3 linked regions of the Elephas maximus indicus genome follow. The protein of the gene in region 3 interacts with the protein of the main gene of each other region in a pairwise test. Links are inferred from orthologs where the notes say so. Each region holds a gene or a part of one and is shown on either strand. Other genes may lie near its edges.

Evidence for each region.
Region 1: the proteins of RGS19 (region 3) and GNAI2 interact in a two-hybrid assay, tested with the Homo sapiens proteins (2 studies listed by BioGRID and IntAct). The link is inferred for Elephas maximus indicus from reciprocal best matches to the Homo sapiens genes RGS19 and GNAI2.
Region 2: the proteins of RGS19 (region 3) and GNAZ interact in a two-hybrid assay, tested with the Homo sapiens proteins (2 studies listed by BioGRID). The link is inferred for Elephas maximus indicus from reciprocal best matches to the Homo sapiens genes RGS19 and GNAZ.

What each region holds. Positions count from the first base shown.
Region 1 is NC_064838.1:54,584,638-54,591,762, reverse strand, and holds the start of GNAI2 (guanine nucleotide-binding protein G(i) subunit alpha-2), read right to left. Parts: upstream 3,001-7,125; 5' UTR 2,881-3,000; coding exon 2,763-2,880; intron 1-2,762. UniProt on the Homo sapiens protein: Guanine nucleotide-binding proteins (G proteins) are involved as modulators or transducers in various transmembrane signaling systems.
Region 2 is NC_064840.1:23,668,833-23,675,848, forward strand, and holds the start of GNAZ (guanine nucleotide-binding protein G(z) subunit alpha), read right to left. Parts: upstream 3,001-7,016; 5' UTR 2,893-3,000; intron 1-2,892. UniProt on the Homo sapiens protein: Guanine nucleotide-binding proteins (G proteins) are involved as modulators or transducers in various transmembrane signaling systems.
Region 3 is NC_064843.1:4,063,842-4,071,576, reverse strand, and holds the start of RGS19 (regulator of G-protein signaling 19), read right to left. Parts: upstream 3,384-7,735; 5' UTR 3,052-3,383; coding exon 2,938-3,051; intron 2,779-2,937; coding exon 2,683-2,778; intron 2,499-2,682; coding exon 2,365-2,498; intron 885-2,364; coding exon 810-884; intron 658-809; coding exon 423-657; intron 335-422; coding exon 143-334; 3' UTR 1-142. Other genes in the region: translation initiation factor IF-2-like, read left to right, coding at 5,739-6,067, 7,331-7,487. UniProt on the Homo sapiens protein: Inhibits signal transduction by increasing the GTPase activity of G protein alpha subunits thereby driving them into their inactive GDP-bound form. Binds to G-alpha subfamily 1 members, with the order G(i)a3 > G(i)a1 > G(o)a >> G(z)a/G(i)a2.

The DNA of each region.
Region 1 (7,125 bases), on a different chromosome or scaffold from region 3:
CAAGGCTGCTAGCTTTTGTTTTCTTTCCCTCAATTGTCTAGCTCAAGACCCCAAATTGCATCTGGACCTTGCTGGTCAGGCAAGTTGAACTGGGTGGGGGGTGGGAGAATCTCTGGAATAGGGCTGGTATCAACTCCTCTGCTCCCCCGACCAAGCTGTCAGGGAAAATCCTCTTGCCAGTGTGTACCACATCTGCCTCTGCCCCAGTGACAGTGACTGTATATGCCTGCTGGCAGGGCTACCCAGGACAGGATAGAGCCAGTATGTGGGTGGGGCAGCAGGCGGGCTCTGGCTGGGAGGGAAGGCTGGCAAATGCCCAGCCTGAGTCCCGTTGCCTGGACAGTCTCTTCCGCTATGTGGGACAGGTGCCCAGTAGTCTGAACTTGCCACAACTGGGCACCCATTACCATCTTGTACCTGGATAGGGAAGGCTCAGTGGTGACTCCTCCCCAGGCAGTCGTGGCAGATCAGGTCCTCAATTTCAGGTAGAGCTTGGTCTCCCAGACCCTTACAGAGCACCCTCTGCAGGGTCCTTCTAGCTCCCACTTCACACCCTCAACAAGAACCTTCATGAGGCCCTATTTTCCCTGACCTGGGCCCAGGCACTTCTATGGCACTCCTCTGGCTCAAGCCCAGAAAGCCCATTTCACAGAGGAAGCAAAGGCCTAAGGTGCAGGATGCTGGGTTGGATTCCCCAGGCTAAAAAGTGCTAAGCTGGCCCCTGTACCCCTGACTGCTAACATCCCAATGTGGGAGGTGTTGCTGGGTCCCACCTGGCCTGCCCCAAAAGCACAGCTGGGCTTCAAGGGACAAGGTCGGCAGGATGGGGGGCCCTTCCGGGGTCAGGACAGAACAGGCAAGGAGCCCTGTACTCTGCTCCCCCTCTTCGCCCCCCACCGCACCATGACCCAGCCCAGCAGTCTTCTCAGCCACCATAATGACCACAATCAACCCAGGAAGAAGCTGGCTAGAGGCTCTGGTCTGGGCACTGGGAGGCAGCAGTACCGGAAGCATCCTCCCCAGGCCCGGCAGGCAGAAGAGACGGGCATTTCACTGCGTCGACACCCACTCACTGCGGCCGCACTCGCAGCAGCAGAGACAGGAAGAGGCAAGCGCCCAACGCAAAGCAGCCCAGGAGGCTGGGCCGCCGCCCCTTCCCGCCCCTTCTCTTCCTCCCCGCGGCGGCAACGGAGCGGATGCCATTTTGAAACCTCGGGGCCGTGCCCCCGAGGCTGGGCCCTCAGGGACAGTCAACAGATGGGCCTATGATGGACAGACACACTGTCTCTCAGCCACAAGCACTGCCTGAAAATCCCAGGTTTTCATAGCCTGGGGACCCCAAGGCGACTGGGGCTAAGGGGCCACACCCCCGCCACACACACACTGTCCAGCCTCCAACGCCACTGCAGGGGCCTCCTTAACCCCCTACCCTGAAAGCACGAAACCGCTGGGCCCCACACCTGCCCCCGTGGCAGGTTAGACAGGGATGCACACTGGGCCCACATCTCGGCAAAAGGCTGGTTCAGATGATCAGAGACATCCTGGCCTACCCTCAGCAGCCCCCAGCTCCTCATTCAGCTGGTCCACTACACTCCCCTTACAGGGCCCCAAGATCCAACAGGGTCACTCTCTCCCAGAGGCTGAGTCCCAGCCCTTCGGCCCTGAAGTGCAGCTTTGGGAAGCCCATCATCGTCAGCAGATTTCCTTGGCCTGCCCGCAGGGGCAGCAATATGTCGGCTGTCTCACCACTTCCACTTCCCCCCACTCCTCGAGCAGCCACCATCTTCCCTGGCCTTGGAGGCGGTCTCAATCCTTACTACGCACACCCCCCCCCCATTCCCCAGACACCCAGGCATCCCTCCCTGGCCTCCCCCCTCGCCGGCCGGGATGAGGCTTAGAAACTTGAAAACATATAGCAAGCGGAACCTTCCGGGAGGCTTGAGGACTGGCCCCTGTCTGAGCCTGGCCCTTGGGGGCCTTGCTCCAGTTCCTTGGGGGTTTGCCTAACCCAGCCTGGGTGGTCCCTAGCCCCTGGGCTCCCTCCTTTCAGCCCAGCCTACCTGGTGCAGGGGAGGTGGAGGAACCTGGGGAAGGCCACTGAGTGGGAGGGGATTTAGGGGAGGGGAAGCAGAGCACTGCAGTAGTGATGCCTGCAAAAGGGGACTTGAGGGTCGGAGACCAGGGGCCTCTGCACATTTGGGAGTTCTGGCTGAAGAGGGCCCATGAGCAGTTACGGGCTCTCACTTGAGAGGTCCCTTGGGGTTGGAGGGTACAGGTGGAGGATATAGAGTCTAGAGTAGAAATGGGACACAGATCGGAAAGGAGTGGATGGGCGCCTGGGAAGGTCTGGGGATGCTCATGCTCAATAGAAATATGGGGGAGCAGGTGGGGAAAACAGGTAAAGCTTGAGGGTAGGGCTGGGTGGGGTTCTGGAAGGATGAAACGACAAGGCCGAGGCTCTGGGGGTATGAGAGGTTGGTCAGCAAGAGTGAATGGTCAAGAAGGGTTCTGGACAGCTGATGTTATCCGACTAGTGCCTGGGTTTGGGATTTGGGGGTCTAGGATTAGTTGGAGGGTCTGATATAGAGTCTGGGCTACCCTCAGAGGTCTAGGCAGACCCAGAGTTTCAGACCCTTATTTGGGAGTCCGGGCTAGGGTTTCAGGCCGGGCCGAGGGGCTCGAAGCCCTTGTCTGGGAGTTTGAAGTCCTTGTCTGGGGAACTGAGTGGGAATCGGGGGTTCCAACGTGGGGCGCGGCCTCACCCAGCAGCAGCAACTTCACCTCCCGCGCCGCCTTCTCGCCGTCTTCCCGCAGATTCTTGTCGATCATCTTGGAGCGCTCGGCCGCCGCCTTGTCCTCGGCGCTCACGGTGCAGCCCATCCCGCTGTCCGCCCGGCCTGGCCGCCGTCCGGCCCCCACACGGCCCCCGGCCCGGCTCGGCCCCGCCCGACCCACTCCGCTCCCGCCGCCGGCCCTCTGCGGGCAGCTCTCGGGTCGGCAGTTCCGAGCGTCTGCGGGCTGCGCCTTCTCGGCCGCGGCGCACCGACGGCGGGGCGGGCCGGGGGTGGGGCCGGGACGAGACGGGCCCGGGACTGGGCCGGGGCGGGTCCGGAGGCGGGGCCAGAGGAGACCTGGGGCCAGTGATTGGCTCGAGGGCAGAGGGAAGGGCGAAGCTAGGCGCAGCCCAGGCTCAGGCCTGGGCTGGAGGCGGAGCCGCGCCGAAGAACAGCACTAAAGGTAGAGCCCAGTCCACGACTGGGCTCCCGGCGGGCTGCCGGCGGGGCGAGGCCCCGGATGGGTTCGGAACCGAGCGCCAGGAGCTCTGAGGCCCGAAGGCGGGGCGGGCGGATCTAGTAGCCCGAGGGTGGGAATCCGGTGCATCTCGCGGGCTGGGCAGGAACCCGCCCTCCGGGCTTTTGCGAGTTGGGTGAGTGGAGTGGAGGAGGCGTGACTTCGTCACTTGCTAAAGTTATTGAATCCAATAAACTTCTTTAGGATCTAAGGAACCCTGGAGCCTCCCTGAACTACGGTTTTCTCAATCTTAAGGCAGGTTTGCCTCTTTCTTGAGTTGCAGGAAAAAAAAAAAAAGGAAAGAAAATAAAGTCAATTACCTTTACACCTTTGTCCAGGCTGTCTCCCTCAGCAAAGGTGCCTTCCTCTATTCACCCAAAGCTTATCCATCCTTCTTTGATCTGCCGGGAGGTGTCCTCCTGCAGGCAGCCATTCTGGACTCCAGCCTTGGACATGGCAACCAGGACTCAAGGGAGAGAGACAGCTGCCATAGTACTTCTGGAAACCTACGTGGCCACGATCTTATGGCCTATCCTTTCCATAGTCTGTCCACCTCTGACCATGGCCACAACCCCAAGGCCTATCCTCCCATGGCCTGTCCCCACTGGGTGGTGGTGGCAGCCGCATGGCCTGTCCGCATCCACTCTGGGCAAAGGTGGGAGGGAACAACAATGTTTCTAGCTGAACATTTCTGCCTTTCTGATTCTGCTCAGGAGGAGCCCACAGCCCTGACCTGGATTGGTCATTTGAAGGGTCTGCCAGGGTTACCCAGGAAGGTGTCCTGTGTGGCCTCAGTGCCATAAGCCTGGGATGCCTGGGTTCTGAGAGAGGGAACGTCCATAAAGTCACATGGGGGAGCTGGCCACCCCAAACCCCTACTGATCACCAACCCCCTCCTCCCCACCCTAGCACATTCCTTGTTCCAGCTCCCAGTCCTCAGGCTGTCCCCTACCCCCGAGTGCCTGTGCATCACTATTTGAACGGCTCCTTTGTTTCAGGAGGCATTGGACTGTAGGCCCTCCAGTGGTTCCCCAACAACTCCCTCCTGCCAAGAGTCAAAGCTCAAGCAGGCCCTGCCCCAGGCAAGCAACAAACATGGCCCACCCAGGGATATGTTCTAATGTAAACCTGGACACAGACCCAGCCCAAAGTATGCCCTATACATTCACACCCAGGCCCAGCCTCCAACGTGCCTTGAGTCCACGGAACACACTATAAAGATGGGTACAGACAGCCAAGAACACAGCCTGTCTACACACAGACCACAAACCCAGCTCCAAGGCGGGCCCCTTCCCTGCTAGCCCCGCCCCATGCCTGAGAGCCGATCCTCTCTCCTCAGGCCTCCCCAGCCTGCTCCTAGCAACAGCCAACAGCTCTCACAGTTGCCGGGCAACAGGGAGAACCTGTCAGCCTCTTGGAGGCCCAGCTCTCCGGAGGTGGGAGAGACACAGACCCCAATCAACGGAAACGGCGGGGCAGGGTGGGGCCACTGAGGGGAATGTCCTGGTCTTGTGGCCATGCTGGTCCCTGGATCTCCCAGCACCTTGGCACCAGCCAGCCACCCCCTTCCAGCCATGTGCTCATCCCAGGGAGTCCAGCAACACCCCCTCACCCCAATGGGTGCACCTTTCCACCTCCATGAGGTCCCCAGGGCTTTGGCTACACCTCTGCTTAGCACTCCAGTCACACACCTCTCACTCCAGGGACTCAGAACCCCACCCGGACATCTCTAGACTGACCTTTCACCTGACTGCCAGTCCATGTCCACCATTGTTCAGAAGCCTCCCCCAGACACCTTGGACACCTCAAACCCATGTTGTCCAGTACTGGGTACGTCCCACCCCCCAACTGGGCCCTGCTCCTGGGCCCTATACCCCTTCATGACCCCTCCCACCAGCCAGAGCCACGAACCCCTCTCCCCACCCTTACATCCTGTCAGCCTCTTCCTCTCCTCAATTCACCCTCAAGTTTGTCCCCGTTCTCTGTCCCCACTGTCCCCCATTATAGGCCTCCTCCGGCCTCCTCCCTGGCTCTTTTGTTTCCCCTACAATCTATCTGGAAACCCTGGTAGTGTAGTGGTTAAGTGCTACGGCTGCTAACCAAAGGGTCGGCAGTTTGAATCCTCTAGGTGCTCCTTGGAAACTCTGTGGGGCAGTTCTACTCTGTCCTATAGGGTCGCTATGAGCCGGGATCGACTCGACAGCACTGGGTTTGGTTTTTTTGGTTTACAATCTATCCACCACATGGCAGCAAAGAGGATCCTGCTGAAACAAATTACATCACTCCCTTGCTCACAAATCTTCCATGGCTCCCCAGTGCCCTGAGGATAAAGCCCATACACACTGCTCTGGACTACACAAGAGATGGTAGAGTGGCTGTTGGCAGCAAGAACTCTAGGGATCAGTCTGCAAACTTGCCAGATGCATGACTCTGGACAAGTATCAGAAACTCCCTGTGCCTCAGTTTTCTCACCCATAAAATGGGCCTAACCCGCTGGATGGCTGAGGTTAGGACTAAGAGAGAAAATAAGGGTAAGAGACCTGGTGTTCTGTTCCCATGAAGATTTCAGCCAAGGAAACCCTATGGGGAAGTTCTGCTCTGTCCTATAGGGTCATTATGAGTTGGAACGGACTCAATGACACATGACGACAACAACAGAGGGAGAAGAGCAATGAGGAAGGGCATTCCAGGAACAGGGAACAGTACATGCAAAGGTAAGCAGGTGGAACTGAGAGGGTGGGTTTGGGGAAGGGTCAGCAAGAAAATCAAGGGTCAGAGCTGGAGAAACTCCTTGCTTTGCAGCTGAGTCAAGTGATGCCCAGAGGGACCAGGAACTATCCACGATCACCAGCGAGGGACATTGCCAGCATGCTGGTTCCTTCACACCTCAGAACCCAGGGCTCCTTCCAAGAAAGTCTGTTTTGGGGGCAGGGGATATTGCTGCCTGGCTAGGGTCTCATGGTCACCAGAAGAGGTATGCCTCGTCCCTGCTCTCACGGGCCCAGCACCACCTAAACTAGACCATAAAGGACAGTGATAGGACATCCAGCAGAGCTGAGGGCAGCACCCCAGCAGGACTGGAGAAGCAACAGCTGCTACTAGCTATCTGGGACAGCTAGGACAGCCAGGGGGCTCGCCACAGGCCACAGGGCAGGTCCAGCTTGTCCTGAGTTCCTACTGTGCACATCCCTAAGCAGGGTGAGGAATGAAGACCCCTTCAGTGGGCTGGCCCCATAACCCACAGGCTCCAGGAAGAGGAAGCTGCCAGCACTTCCCCAAAGGCAGTTTCGGGTGGGTGTGTCTGCCTCACCCCTCCTGCCCAGAGTCTAGAAACAGGCAGGATCCCACCGGGATGCCCAGAGTCTGGGATTTCGGTTATGCCACCTCCATGGCTTCCAGGTGGCAGGGGGTCCCTGGCCGGCTGAGACCCTGTAACCACCAAATCACAGCCTTGTTGGCAGGACCTCTCTTGGCAGCTTCTGTTTGCAGACCTCAGTGACAGGGAGCTCGCTTGCTTGTTCCCTACAGCCCTGAGCCAGGCTTCACCTTCCTGCTTTTTGGCCCAGTAGCAGCTCTGAGATTGGAGTCAGCCATCCTACCCTCCCTTCCCCCTCCCCGCCAGGCCTCTCTTCCCCAAAAAGGAACAGTCCCAGGCCTGGGGACCCTCAGGATCCAGCACCCCCTTCCTAGCCACCGAGCACCATTCACAGATAGTTGGCTTTAGCCTGGGGAATCATGCCCCAGAACTCCTCACTCAGAAGTTTCTGAATGGGCTAGGGGCCCCCACCTGAGGCGGGATCAGCAGGATGACCTGCAGGGAGGGTTCGTCTGTTC
Region 2 (7,016 bases), on a different chromosome or scaffold from region 3:
GACACCAAAATGTGAGGGGCATGGCTAAATTTTAGCTCAACAAATGAGTGAATGGACTATGCAGGCTCCGCGAGGAGGGCTGATGTGACCTCCCACAGGCTCCAGGACTCGTTGGACAGCCTCCATGAGGTTGTCTCTGCAGATAAAGCACCGCCCCTTTTGTGTAGACATGTGGAAGGAGCCTGGTGCGTAGGGAGACCCCTCCTGTCAGTGTGGACATGTGAAGGGAGCCTGGCATGTAGTAAGGAGACCCTTCCTGCTGGTGTTGATGTGCAGGGGGCCAGGCATGTGGGGAGACCCCTCCTGTTAGCATGGACGGGGAGGGGGCAGGGCATGTGAGGAGACCCGTCCTGCCAGCATGGACAGGGAGGGGGCCAGGTACATGGGAGACCCTCTGTCAGAGTGGAGAGGGTGAAGGCCAGCACATGAGGAGACCCGACCTGTGGCCAGGTCTTGTGACACTAGACTGGAGCTCCCCCTTTGCCTCACTACCCCATGGGCGTGAGCATCTGGGTACTCCCATGATCCCCTCCCATCTGTGAGGCTCCGACCCTCCTACCTGAGGCTGGCCTTTGGTGTCACCCCGATGCCATGTCCATTCCCTTCGTGATCCTTTCTGCCATGCACATCTCTTGCAGGCCAACCCAGGGGCTCTGTCACCCTGTTTCCTTCCTGGAGGCTGGGGGAGCTGCATTCTACTCCCCTCCCCATGAGTTCCACAAGCCTGGCCACGGTCAGCTGTGTGCATTCTAAGTCTACTGGGGTGAGCATAGGCTGCTCACAGGGCCACTTCTGCATTCTCGAGGCCAGGGAGATCAGGCCTACTGAGTCCCAGGCCAGCCGTCCCATCACCCCATGACACCACCCTCCGGGGTGGGGAGGTCCTCCATGGCCCTCCCCAGGCCCACGCCCATTACCCAGAAGCCCCTGGAATTGCCCTAGAAGCTCCTGAGAGCTCAACCAAGGCCCTCCTCCTGGGGCTCCAGGCCAGAGAAGCCTGGGCGCTGGGTCAGAGGGAGAATTCCCGCCCATGTAGCCCAACCTAGGGCCCCGTGCCAGGTCCCCAGAATGGGTCTGGACAAGGCAAAAGTTACATCCAGGAGTTGAGCAGCTTCACGGCGCTAGGCACAGACCACAAGCCCCACGAGGGCAGGCAGGCCTGCCTCTCGCTGCAGCAGCCCAGGCTTGGGCCTTGAGCCCAGTGTGTATCTATGCGGGTGGGGTGGAGGCAGGGCTGCAGAGATGAGTCAGACAGCCCCTCAGAGGGAGCCAACACAGCCCCTTGAGCAAGCAGCTCAGGGAAGAAAGTGGTCCCAGCCTTATTCCCTTCCTGCCCCAGAAAATCAACGTCTGCCAGAAGAACCCATAGGGAGGACTTTAAAGAACAAATGCCATGGCCTCAGCCTCCCTGGAAAGTGCCTGGGGGTCCTCTTTCCTCAGAGTGTAGCCAGGCCTCCTGCACACCCCTCAGCTCGCAGATGGACACCCTGGGCCTTCATGGTGACTGCTCTCGAATGTTCATGTCCCGGAGACCCTGGAGACATAGTCACTGGCTGAACAGGTAAACAAGGCAGGTGTTCCATGGCTACCAAGAAGGTGGTTGGACATTGCCCAAAAAGGATCAGGTTCCTGGGGGGCAAACCCCAGGGGGTCCTGAAAGTTTTGCCCCAGGCCCACCCCATCTCCTGGTTACAGAGCTGCCAGAAGCTTCCTTCTCTTCTGCAGATGAGGAGGCCGAGGTCTCCACTGGAGGAGCCAGGCTAACAAGCGAGAGGGCAGCTCTGTGTCCCCAGCTTCCCTTCAGTCCAAACCGGATGACCCCACCACCTTTCCCACCATACCTCAGGCTTCTTCAAGCATGCCCACTCCTGCCAAACCCGAGAACCCTCTCTGTGTCCCTTCCCCCATCTGCCTGCAAAGCCTACTCCAGCCATGCCATGCCCTTCAAGCACCAGCTCAAAATGTCTCCTTGCACATAGGCCCACCTGACCCCAACTGGGGTCACCTCCCCAGGTCAAGTGCTGCTCTTGGGCTGGGCTATGTGAGCAGGGCCACATCTCCCTTATGGCATGGTGAGTCAGTCCTAGGGAGACAGGACAGTCCACTCCCCCCTGTCCACCCAGTGCCTGGTCCTAGGGAGCAAGGGTTCAATAAATGTTTGTTTGACCGAATTCTGCCAGGAGCTTCCTCCAGAAAGAGTGCAGGGTAGTGGGGCCCGGTCCCCGGCCGGGAAATCACTGGGGCAGAGGAGCCAGTCAGCAGAGCGGGTGCCTCCCCAAGCCAGGCGGACCTCACTGCCAGGTGGGTTTCTCCATCTGAGACCCAGACCCCGGGAGCCCTGGGCTGACACTGCCCTCCCACCCATCCTCTCTTGTCAGAAAAGCCCTAGTGCCGGCCTAGCGGTTTCCTGCCGCCACCCCCCAGAATGCTCGGCACCGCCCTAATGGCAGGGCCTCTGGGTCCCCCGCAGGACACAGAGCCCCAGCCCCCACGCCCTCCCTCAGAGCACCCCCGCCGCCTTTTAAGGGAAAAACACCAAGCCGGGGACAGATGGTCGATACTCAGCTCTGCTCTAAATGCCCCCAGGAACCTGCTCGCGGCAGGAGCTATGACCCCACACTGTGTCCGCGTCCCAAGCCAGGCCTCGGTCTCCGACAGGCCCCGCGTCCGCGCCCCTCCTCGCGCCCAGGGAGCCCCGCCGCCCTGCCCACCCTCCCGGGCCGACGTCACTGGCACCTGCACGGCCCGCCGCCCCCCGCCCGCAACCTGCCGCCCCCGAGGCCTTAACCCGGGCACAGTGGTCGCGCGGGGGGCTGGGGGTGGGGGCGGCAGGCGGGGACGGGGGCTGCCGCGCCCACGGCCAAGCTTCACCGCGCGCGGCCGCACACTCACCTCCGGGCCGGGCACCGAGCCTGCCGAGCTGCTCCGGGAGGCGGCGAGCGCGGGCCCGGCGCCCTCGTTCCGCACGACGCGGGCGGCGGCGCCGCGCGGGGACGTGACCGGACCGCGGGCGGCGCTCACGCACGGCCGGCCGCTCCCCCGCCCGCTCCCCCGCGGGTCCCCCGCCCCGCGCCGCCAGAGGAGGCGGAGCCGCGAGCGCACTGCGTTGCCAGGCCAACCGCGGGCGGGGTGCCGCGCGCCCGCCGGGCACCACGCGCCGGGCGCCGCCGCCCGCCACGACCGCCGGCTTGCGGCTCATTGGGCGCGGGCGGCTAACCGACGCTGCCGTGGGCCAATGGCGGCGAGCAGGGGCGGGGCCGCGGCTCCGCGCGCACCGCAGTCCCGCACGCTCTGTCTGTCCGTGCCCACGATCGCGCAGAAGGCCCGCGCGCCCACCCGGGAGCTGGCGGCGCTCAGGGTCTGAGCTCAGCGTCGCCCCTCCCGAGCCCCGTGACCTGGTCGCCGACTGACCTCCCCGAGTTTGTCTTCGAAGTGGGGCTCGCGGCACCTGCCTCCCTGGACTGTCAAGACAATCCTGTTGTCAGCCTTCTGGTCAGCCCTTGATTTATGGCGACCCCATGCACAACTGAAAAAAAAAACAAACCCAACCCGCTACCCTCGCCCAATCATCCCTATGATCCTTTGCGGCGTGAAACCCTTGTGATCCAGAGGGTTTTCATTGGCTGGTTTTTGGAAGTTGTTTGCCAGGCCTTTCTTCCTACTGTCGTAGTCTGGAGGCTTTGCTGAAACCTAGTCAGCATCACAGCAGCACACAAGCCTCCTTGGACAGATGACTGGTTCCTGCGCATGAGGTGCACTGGCTGGGAATTGAACCTGGGTTTCCAGCATATTTTTGTTAGGTGACCACCAGTCGGATCCAACTCATAGTGATTCTGTGTAAAACAGAAGGAAACACTGCCAGTCCTGCCCCATCCCCATAATGATTGCTATGTTTGAGCCCATTGTTGCAGCCACTGTGTCAATCCATCTCATTGAGGGTCTTCTTTTTTGATGACTCTCTACTTTTCCAAGCATGATGTCTTTCTCCAGGGACTGGTCCCTCCTGATAAGAAGTCCAAAGTATGTGAGACGAGGTCTTGCCATCCTTGCTTCTAAGGAGCACTCTTGCCAACACCGTAATTAAAAGGCATCAATTCTTTTTTGGTCTTCTTTGTTCATTGCCCAGCTTTCGCGTGCATGTGAGGTGATTGAAAACACCATGGCTTGGGTCAGGCACACCTTAGTTTTCAAAGTGACGTCTTTGCTTTTCAGCACTTGAAAGAGGTCTCTTGCAGTAGATTTGCTGAATGCAATATGTCATTTGCTTTCTTGACTGCTGCTTCCATGGCTGTTGATGGTGGATCCAAATAAAAGGAAATCCTTGACAGCTTAAGTATTTTCTCTGTCTATCATGATGTTGCTATTGGTTCATTTGTGAGGATTTTTGTTGAGGTGTAATCCCTACTGAAAGTTGTAGTCTTTGATCTTCATCAGTAAGTGCTTCAAGTCCTCTTTGCTTTCAGCAAGCAAGGTTGTGTTATCTGCATAATGCACGTTGTTAATGAGTCTTCTCCAATCCTGATGCTGGGTTCTTCTTCATATAGTTCAGCTTCTCGTATTATTTGGTCAGCATACAGATTGAATAAGTATGGTGAAAGGATACAACCCTTGATGCACACTTTCCCTGATTTTAAACCGCGAAGTATCTCCTCCTTCTGTTCAAATGACTGCCTCTTGGTCTATGTACAGGTTCCACCTGAGCACAATGAAGTGTTCTGGAATTCCCATTCTTCCTAATGTTATCCATAATTTGTTATGATCCACACAGTTGAATGCCTTTGCATAGTCAATAAAACACAGGTAGACATCTCTCTGGTAGTCTCTGCTTTCAGCCAGGATCCATCTGACATCAGCAATGATATCCCTGGTTCCATGTCCTCTTCCGGATCCGGCTTGAATTTTCTGCAGTTCCCTGCCTATGTACTGCTGCAACCACTTTTGCATTACCTTCAGCAAAATTTTACTCATATGTGGTATTAATGATATTGTTTGATAATTCCACATTTGGTTGGATCACCTTTACTTGGAATGGGCACAAATATGGATCTCCTCTAGTTGGTTGGCCAGGTAGCTGTTTTCCAAATTTCTTGGCATAGATGAGTGAGAGCTTTCAGGGTTGCATCTGTTTGTGGAAACATCTCAATTGGTATTTTGTCAATTCCTGAAGCCTTGTTTTCCCCTCAATGTCTTCAGTGCAGCTTGGACTTCTTCCTTCAATACCACAGGTTCTTGATCACATGCTACCTCCTGAAATGGTTGAACGTCGACTACATCTTTTTGGCACAGTGACTCTGTGTATTCATATCATCTTCTTTTGATGCTTCCTCCATCGTTCAATATTTTGCCCATAATATCCTTCAATATTGCAGCTTGTGGCTTGAATTTATTCTTTAGTTCATTCAGCTTGAGAAATGCCAAGTGTGTTCTTCCCTTTTGGTTTTCTAACTCTAAGTCTTTGCACATTTCATTATAATACTTTACAGTGTCTTCCCAAGCTGCTCTTTGACATCTTCTGTTCAGCTCTTCATCCTTTCTTCTGTTCATTTTAGCTACTCTATGTTCAAGAGCAAGTTTCAGAGTCTCTTCTGACATTCATTTTGGTCTTTTCTTTTTTGTCTTTTTAATGACCTTTTGCTTTCTTCATGTATGATGTCCTTGATGTCATCTCACAACTCTTCTGGTCTTTGGTCATTAGTGTTTAATGCATCAAATCTATTCTTGAGATGGTCTTTAAATTCAGGTGGAGTATACTCAAGGTTTTATTTTGGCTCTCGTGGACTTGTTTTAATTTTCTTCAGCTTCAACTTGAACTTGCATATGAGCAATTGATGGTCTGTCTGCAGTCGGCCCCGGCCTTGTCCTGATTGATGATATTGAGCTTTTCCATTGTCTCTTTCCACAAATATATTAATTTGATTCCTGTGTATTCCATCCTTTGAGGTCCATGTGTATAGTCACCGTTTATGTTGTTGAAAAAAGGTATTTGCAATGAAGAAGTCATCTTGCAAAATTTTGTCATGCCATCTCCGGTGTCGTTTCTATCACCAAAGCCATATTTTCCAACTACTGATCCTGCTTCTTTGTTTCCAACTTTCGCATTCCAATCACCAGTAATTACCAATGCATCTTGATTGCATGATCAATTTCAGACTGCAGAAATTAGTAAAAATCTTCAGTTTCTTCATTTTTGGCCTTAGTGACTGGTGTGTAAATTTGAATAGTAGTTGTGCTAACTGGTGTTCCTTGTAGGCATATGGATATTATCCTATCACTGACAGAGTTGTACTTCAGGATAGATCTTGAAATGTTCTTTTTGTTGATGAATGTGACTCCATTCCTCTTAAGTTTGTCATTCCCAGCATAGTAGACCACAGGATTTTCTGATTCAAAATGGCTAATTCCAGTCCATTTTAGCTCACTAATGCCTAGGATATTGATCTTTATGCGTTCTATTTTGCGTTCATGAAAATGAGGGCCTTCTTTCTCAAATTTAAAATGCTAACCTTAAAACTCTCCAGTGGTTCTTAGGCCAATGTCCCTATCCTACCCAAGGGCCACCCACCAGTCTGGCTGTTCCTGACCCATCCAGCCTCATGGCCTCCTTGCATGCTTCCTGGCTGTAGCCACACTGGTCTTTTCTGGATTCTTCTGATGCCTCACGCTCCCTCACACCCAGGGCCTCCTCCACCTGGAAGGTGCTTCTCTCCTGCCCCACATTGCTGGCCGCCATTTACACGCAGAACATGTGGAAGGCTTTGCAAACCCTAAAGTTTCACACAGGTGAGCCTGGTACAGCATAGGAGGGGTGCTATTTATCTCTGCTCCTCATATCCCCTCCACACTTCCTGCACATAGAGACTTTGGGGGTTCCTGGGAATCCCGGTCCAGGAAAAGTGGCTTTGGAGAAGCAGAAGGGAGCCAGCTCAGCCAAGGTCTGGGCCCTGTTGGCACATTTGGGGAGCTCATGGAAGGCACCTTAAGACAGGCTGCCAAATTCTGCTTTCAGTTTCAGGGGG
Region 3 (7,735 bases):
CCTGGAGCCTCTGCCTGGCCTCGTGGGGCGGAGCCTGGAGTCAGCGGCCAGCCGGGACTTCCTGGGGTCCCGGACCCCAATTCGACTTGCCTTGCAGTGGAAGCCCACATGGGGCCCTAGGGTCCTGGTGCCTGAGGCGGGCTCAGGCCTCCGACGAGGACGGGGTGGGCCCGTGGAGCAGCAGGGCGCGGTAGACTGGGGAGCTGAGAAAGCGAGGGTAGGAGTCCCGGTGCATGAGCGTGTAGATCTGCAGCTGTGCATCATCGAACGTGTGCGCAGATGGCTCCTGCATCCTCTTGTTGATTCCCTCCCGCACGCGCGAGTCCAGGCTCACCTGCGGGCGGGGCGGGGAGGGGTCAGGGGCCGGTGGGCGGCATTCCCACTCGCCCTGCCCTGCCCGCCCGGCGCTGCCCCACGCGCACCTCCTTGGGGGATAGGATGGACACGTAGTCCTCGTAGATGAGCCGCGCTTTCTCGTCCACCACGTGCTGGTTGGCCTCGGCCTTGAGCTCCTCGCAGGCCAGCCAGAAGAGCATGTTCTCCTCGCTGTACTCCGTGCGCAGGAACTCGCGGAACACGTTGCGCCCAGCGGGGCTGCGCATCAGCTTGTCGAAGGACTGAGCCCAGCTGCGCACCTCTTCAGGGCTTGGCGCGGCGCTGCCAGCAAGTGCCTCGGTCAGGGTCAGACAAGCCACCTGGCCCAACCCTGCCTGCGCCTGATGCGCAGACTCATGCACGCACACGTGCCCACGCCCACCCCACACACGCGCGCCCACCTCATGCGTGCACACAGGCTGGCTGAGACTCACCATGCTTCGCAGCTGGGGAGGGGCTGCAGCTTGGTCTCCCGAGAAGCCTGCCAGGCTCGCCGCCGCTCTTCATTCCTAACATTAGAGAATGGCAGCAACTTGCCTGGGTTCACAGGGACATCACATAAGTGCACACATGGGCCTCAGCACATGGATACTGGCTTGTGGACACATCACAGAGCTATGCATACGGGTAGACACAGGCAGGTGAGCAGACACAGGGCTCAGTGCACAGGAGATGCAGGCGTGTGAGCAGGCACAGGGCTCGGTGCACAGCAGACGCAGGCGTGTGAGCAGGCACAGGGCTTGGTGCACGGGAGACGCAGGCGTGTGAACAGGCACAGAGCTTGGTGCACAGGTAACTGGCGCACGGAAGGGCAACCCCTGGAGTCTTTGCTCCCTTCACACCCTTCCTGGGAAGGGGGTCCACTCTCCTGCCCACTGCTCCTTTCCCCCTCCCTCCACTGAATCTGCTTGTCCAGTTGCTGACCCTGCCAAGGCCACGGCCTCTGTCTCCTTCGGCGATGTTTGGCTGGTGACCCCCACTATCTTCCTGCTGGGACCCTGCATGATCTGTCTGGAGCTCCTCCTACCTCCCTGGCCAAGCCCCCGACCCTACCCGCTTTCCAGCCTTTCATCCCAGGGGCCCCTGGCAGGTCCACCCTGCAGGCCCAACCGGCCCTGCTGAAAGCCTGCCCTGTGCCCACCTATCAGGCCTCACTATCTGACCCTGACCCCCAGGTATGGCTTCTCTCTCCCAGTCTTCTCCCCACTTGATGGTGCCAGACCAAGCTCAGTGCCCCGGCCCCACACCTCTTCCTCCTCAGCAGTGGCATCACTGCCTCCAGAGATACTGGCCTCCAACCTGGCCCACAACCCGAGTCCTCTCCATCCCTCCCATACCCCGCCCCAGCCAGAGACACCACCAAGTCCTAATTACCTCGGCTCCCAATGCTACCCTCATGGTCTCTTTCCTGGGCTCTGCCCCTGGTTTCTCACTGGTCGCCTGATTTCACTTTGGGTCCCTACGGCCCACCCTCCACTCCACAGCCAAACCTGAAGCCTGAATAGGGTCAGGGTACGAGGGGTGGCGGCCTCCAGCTCTGCAAAACCCCATGCCCTCCTGTCCCAGCACCTGTGCCCCCCCTCTGGGTGCTCTTCCCCATCTTCCAGGCTTGGCTCATCTGTTCCTTCCTCAGAGCCCCCCAGCGTCCCCTCCGCAGCCCTTGGTACAACCTGCAGAGTCTGTTTTCTGTTTCTGCTCTTCTAGGTCCCTAGGCCAGAGCAGCGTTGATAAACATGTATCAAGCACGTGGACAAGCAGGTGCACAGGTGCACACAGGTGTGGGCCTGGTACCTGCCCACGGGTACACCCTTGGCTCACTGGAGTCTCCTGGAGGGGCCTGGGCAGGGCAGGGCTGGCAAGGTGGCAGGGCTGTCCTGCCTGCAGCCTGTACCTCAGGAGCCTCTGGCCCCCAACACACCCCCCAGCCCCCTTCGCACCCCCAGGCTCCCATGCTCCCCCAGGTCCCCCCTGCACCCCAGGCCCACCTACCAGGAGCAGCTGCAGCAGCAGCACCAGCACAAGCAGCAGGGATTGCGGCTGGGGGCAGCCGGGACGGCCGCAGGAGGGGCCGCGTCATGCCTGGACATGGAGGGCGGCTGGTCCGCCTCCTCTGGCCCTGTGTGCTGTAGAGACAGAGGCTCAGCCCAGAACACACCAGCCCGGCTCCTCCCCCACTGCCTGCCCGAGGGGCTACACCTCCTGGGACATGACCCTTCCTGCCTCCCAGGTGTTCAGGGGTCTCCCAAACTCCCTGTTGCCCCCACCCTATCTTGCCCCCCCATCTTCCCCAGGGGAGCAGGGGCGCACCTGTTTCTCAGCCTCATGCGGGGTGGGCATGGGTGGGCCAAGAAGGTCCCCAGGCTCTGTGGTGCCTGCTCCGGAACCCTCACCACGGCCGGGGGTCTGGGGAGAGAGGCCGAGGCTCTGAGAACCTGAGACCCCAGTCCCTGCCAGCCCCTGGGGGTCCTGAGAGGGTCTCCCTCTTTCCTCCCCAAGCCCTCTGCCCCCAACCTTCATCCCTGGCTCCCATCTGGGCTCTCCTCCCCCCACCCCCAAGCCTACACCAGGACTGCAGGCCCAGGTCAGTTGGGGAGGGGGCTGTAGCAGCTTCTGGCCCCTCAATCCTAGTCTGGGCCCCAGAAGAGGCCCCCACGGAAGGTTCCGGGACACCCCCATCAGCTCGGTCCCTGGGAAGCCGGAAGCCTGGGTTCCTCTTTCTTGGTTTCCAGCTCTCTGCCCCTCCCCAAGGGGGCTGGGGGCCCCTTAGAGTCATGGGGGTGGCAGTCAGACATTCAGAGCCCCCCTACCCCCTGCCAGCTCCCTTCATTCTGGGTTTTCTGTCCAGACTGTGGGCGCTGGGTACGGTTGCTCACAACCAAGAGCCTTGAATCTGCCTGTCAGTCTCAGGATTCTGACAATTCACCAGGACTCAACAGAGTAGCAGGCTGGGCCTGCAGCATGGAGAATTTGAGTGGGACTTGGGGAAGGACTTTCTGAGGGTGTGGGGAGTGGGGCGGGGGGGGTGTCTCAGAGAAACTTGCCCTGGCCCAGTGCCCCACTTCCCACTTCAGTCTTTGGTGCCGTCCCTGCCTGCAGGCACCCACCTTCTCCCAGAAACCCATGCCTTGACAGTGCTGCCTTCTTAGCCTGCACCCAGTGTCTCCGTGGCACCCCCGCCCGACCGCTGCCTCTAGGCAGCGGAAACCACTGCAGCCAAGCGCCCCACTGCAGGGCGTGCCATGCTGGGGGTGCCAGGCTGGGGGAGGGGGCACCTGTTCCTGGGCTGGGGCCTGGAGTCCCTGTGCTGGCCATCCTGCCTCTGTTTGCACTGCACCTTGGGCAGGGGTGCCAACGCAGATGGTTTCGCCAAGCCTGGGGGTGGAGGCAGGGGTGGGGGCACCAGAGACCCATTGGACTTACTCAGTGCAGCCTGGCCAATCTGAACCCTGCAGGTGATTTTGAATGCCCCTTGCCCACACACACTGCACCTGCCACTTGACCCTGTTCCACTCTCTTTTCTCATTCAGTATACCCCCACCCTACCCCTGCTCATGGTGTTTTAATCCCAGTTTCAGTCTGTCCGGGTTGGCTCTCAGGGCTCCAGGGAAGGAGTGAAGGTGAACGCTCTAGGCAGGCCTACTCCTGGGGCCCCTGGCTGGTTATGGGGGCCTCGTGTGGCAGCTCTCAGGGGCCACGACGATACTGCTCCCTGGCCTGGGCATGTGGAGGCCTGGCTCTGACAGGCTTTGAGGGAGAGGGTGGGCACAGGGTTCTCTGGAGCCTAGGCCCTTACGATCTGCCTGGCTTCACAGACCCTGTGGGGGGCCCTCAAACTGAGGCCCACAGGCCCCACAGATGGGGAAACAATGCACTTTCCCTGGGGTCAGGTTTCTAGGGAGAGGAAGGGCTGTGGCTCCTCCTGAGATCCGGGAGCTGTACCCCCAGACAGGGTGATGACTTCCTCTTCCACACCACCCCTACTGTGAGTGGAGCTGGCCCTGCCCCTCCCCACTCCCTTAGCTCCAACCTGCTCTGAATTGGAGGAAGGGGACCTGTTTAGGGTGCAGAGCCCCATGGTGGGGGCCAAGTCCCTTCTTCCCCAGGCCCTTGGCATGGTCCCTACACTTGGCTCCCCGTGCCCTCCCTAGGCCGCTGAGGCCATGCCATACCCTGGGGCACCCATGGGTGCCCTGGGCTGCCTCCTGGGAGGGTAGGGAGTCTGAACTAGGGTCCTCCTGCCTCTCATGCTGATGTTCTGGGGGCGCCTCCCTTTCCCTAGCCCCCAGACTTTGGCCCCCCGAGTCTGGGATGGAGAAGCTGGATAGGAGGCCAGTCCAGCCTCTGGGGACAGAGTTTCCCCTGGGAGTGGCTGCTGCTCCGCACCACAGAAGGAAAAGGAACGTCCAGAGCCGCCCATTCCAAAAAAAGAATAAGAAAATGTGACAATCCCAGAAAGAAATGCCATAACCTTTGGGGGGGGGGGCGACAGAGGGGCCCACTGTCTCTGATCCTACCCAGTACCCTCTCCTACCTGCCTCTTCCGCTAGCCTGGTGGGGGGAGCCCCTGGCCTGGCCCCCTCCAAGGAAGGCCGGGCCACCCCAGCCTTGGTGATCCCGGCCCCGAGACCGACCTGCAATGGCGGGGGCAACCCCCTCCCTCAAAGTCTGGGACCCTGTCTTCTGACGCCTCCACCCCACCTTAAGGAACTCTCCCTGGCCCAGCACCCCACTCACCAGAGACCCAAAGATGGGGTGGGGGCGGGAGGGGCCAGGTTCGTTCTGGCCCCACCCTGGTCTCCGAAGGGGCGTGCACTGCAGCGGGGACTTGAGTCAGACGGCAGGAGGTACTCCTGGGGCGTCTGGAGGGGCCAGCAAAGGAGCCCTGATCGGCTGGGCCGGGGGCGCAGCGCCTCCCCGCCGGCTTGCAGGGCCGAGCAGCTGCCAAATCTAACTGGGGCGGGGGCGGAGGGCGTCCCGCCCCGGCCCCTCCCCACCAGGACGAAGCGGGCGGGAGACGCGGAAACCTGGGTCCTTCCGGCCCCCACCTTTGAGCAATCGCTCCCCCGGGCTTAGAGCTGCAGAAAAAGGGGAAACTGTGCAGCACCCCTCCCCCGCACGGGGGGGTGGTCCGGTCCTGCAGCGGCCCAGGGTCCACGTGGGCCTGGGGCTGAAAGTCTGAGTGCGGCCCGGGGCGCCGGCTCCCAGGCTCCCTCCCAACAGCCCCAGGCCGGGAGGGGAGCCGCGTCCCGGGGCCGCGCGGGCGCGTGCACTCACCGGCCGCGCTCCCGAGCCGCCGCGCCGCCGCCGCCCGACCCCGCGCGCCGCGAGGTCCGGCAGGAGCTCGGGGAGGGGGCGCGAGGCGCATGCGCAGGCCCTCGGCCGCACTTCCCCAAAGCGCGGGGCCTGGACTTCCTCGCGCTGGAGGCGCCCGCCCTGCCCCGCCCGCCCGCCAGCCCGCCCGCCGGGGCGCTCGGCCGGCTCCCCCGCAGGCCTCTTCGCGCCCACATGCCCGGCATTGCGCGGAAAGTGGGGTGCTGGCTTTGTGGCGGCCTGGGGTGCGCGGCGACCTCTCCCCCTACTCTTCACAGCTGGGCCGTTCTTGCAGGGAGTCCACGAGGCTCCTGGCCAGTGCGGGGGCGCCAGCGAGAGCACCCCAGGCCCCGGGGTCCCGTGTGCCGCTTGCCCCGCTTGGGTAAGGAAGAAGTCCCTGGAAAGGGCTGACCCGTGGTCACGCCAGGCCCGCCCGCCCTCTCCAATCTGATGCCTCATCTGTAGAGTGGGGTTAAGTGAGACGTGCTGTCACCATGCTGGGGGTGGGGGTGGGGGTTCCGTGCTGCGGGGCTGGCGGCGCTGGTGGGTGTGGGCTCTTGCGTGGAGTCCACCAAAGGGCTCGTTTCCAGGGCGTGACCAACTCCCTTCTGAGCCCTCCTAAAGTCCAGAGCCCTCTGGGTCCCCTTTGCCACAGATGCCCTTTCCTTTCAGTGGCTGGCTTTCTTGGCCCTTTTTGACACAGCACAGCTGTGGGTGAAGTTCCTTATCACAGAATGTTCTGGGCCAGTGTCAGGGTGGCCCAGACCACTCTGCAGACATCTTGTGTCTGTGGCCCCCCAAGCCTGCTGTTCCCCCAGTGCCTGTAAGGCCTAGCCTGGCTGGAGGCAGGGCTCCCCACACAAATGCCCACCCACTGCACAGCCCATGTGCACAGTGGGGCAGGGCTCTTCCAAGCACCAGAGAAGTGGGGATAGTTCACTTGGCAGGTGTTGGGTGTCTGCTGTGGGCCCTGAGTGAGGCCAACCTGTAAGGGGTTGGGTGGAGGGTGCGCTAAGGAGAGAAACAGGTAGAGGAGGGAGGGCAGGGTGGTACCCAATTGGTGTCAGGAATCTTTGGTGAGCAAGGGTAGTGCGAAGGTTGAGGGTGGGGGGGTTGCACTGTGGTTCTGTTGGAAAAGCAGTGAGGCCAGGGGCCAGGGCAGGCCCAGGTCAGAGTGGGAGCTGGGCCCACAGGACAGTCCTCGCTCTCCAGCTTGGCCGATTACTTGTTGGAGGCAGCATGATGAGCAGGGCCAGAGGCCGAACACCTGTCCAGGGATGGCTGCCTCTTACTGAGCCCAGGCATTAGTCCTGAGAAGTATGTGCTATTACCGCATCTTTACAGATGAGGACCAGGCACCTGGTCAAAGCCAGACAACCTGGCTGCGATGGCCAAAGTGCCGCCCATCTCAAGAGAAGTGCAGGGGGCAGCTGGCAGGAGTGGGGTCAGCACGTCCCCTGACTTCCAGCCACTGCCACTGTTCTCCTCTGGCCCCTGGGGCCTGTCGGCCTTTTCCCTCGACTCTCCCCTCCCTCTGCTTCCCCGCTCTGTTGAGTACTCCAGAGGCAGACGGATGCTCACATGGATGCTCACAGGCCCTGCTGTATGTACCCTGACAGCTCTCCTCATTTGGTCTCCTTTACAGAAGACCACTTGTGAGGAAGACCCTTCCCATGTACCACAGGAGAAACCGAGGCAGTGACCTGTTCAAAGCCACGCAGCTGGTGATGGTGGAGATGAGGTTTGGACAGGGACCCCAGCCCCCCGGTGCTCACCTGACCCCTCAGTCCCTGACACACTGACCTGGCCCTCTCTTAGCGCCTTCCGTGGACAGAAGCCTCCTCCAGGCCCCACAGGAATGTCTTTGCCCCCTTCCCATAGCCCCCTACCCAGACCTGGAGCCCCTCCCTGACAGGGAGACAAAGGGGCACCTCAAGTGCTGGAACAACGCTGGTCTGAGAGGTCTTGGTGAGCGCTTGTGACTTGCTGCTTATCTGGGGCCTGTGTCTGCCTTTGTTACTTGGCCACCCGGCAGGGACCTGACCCACTA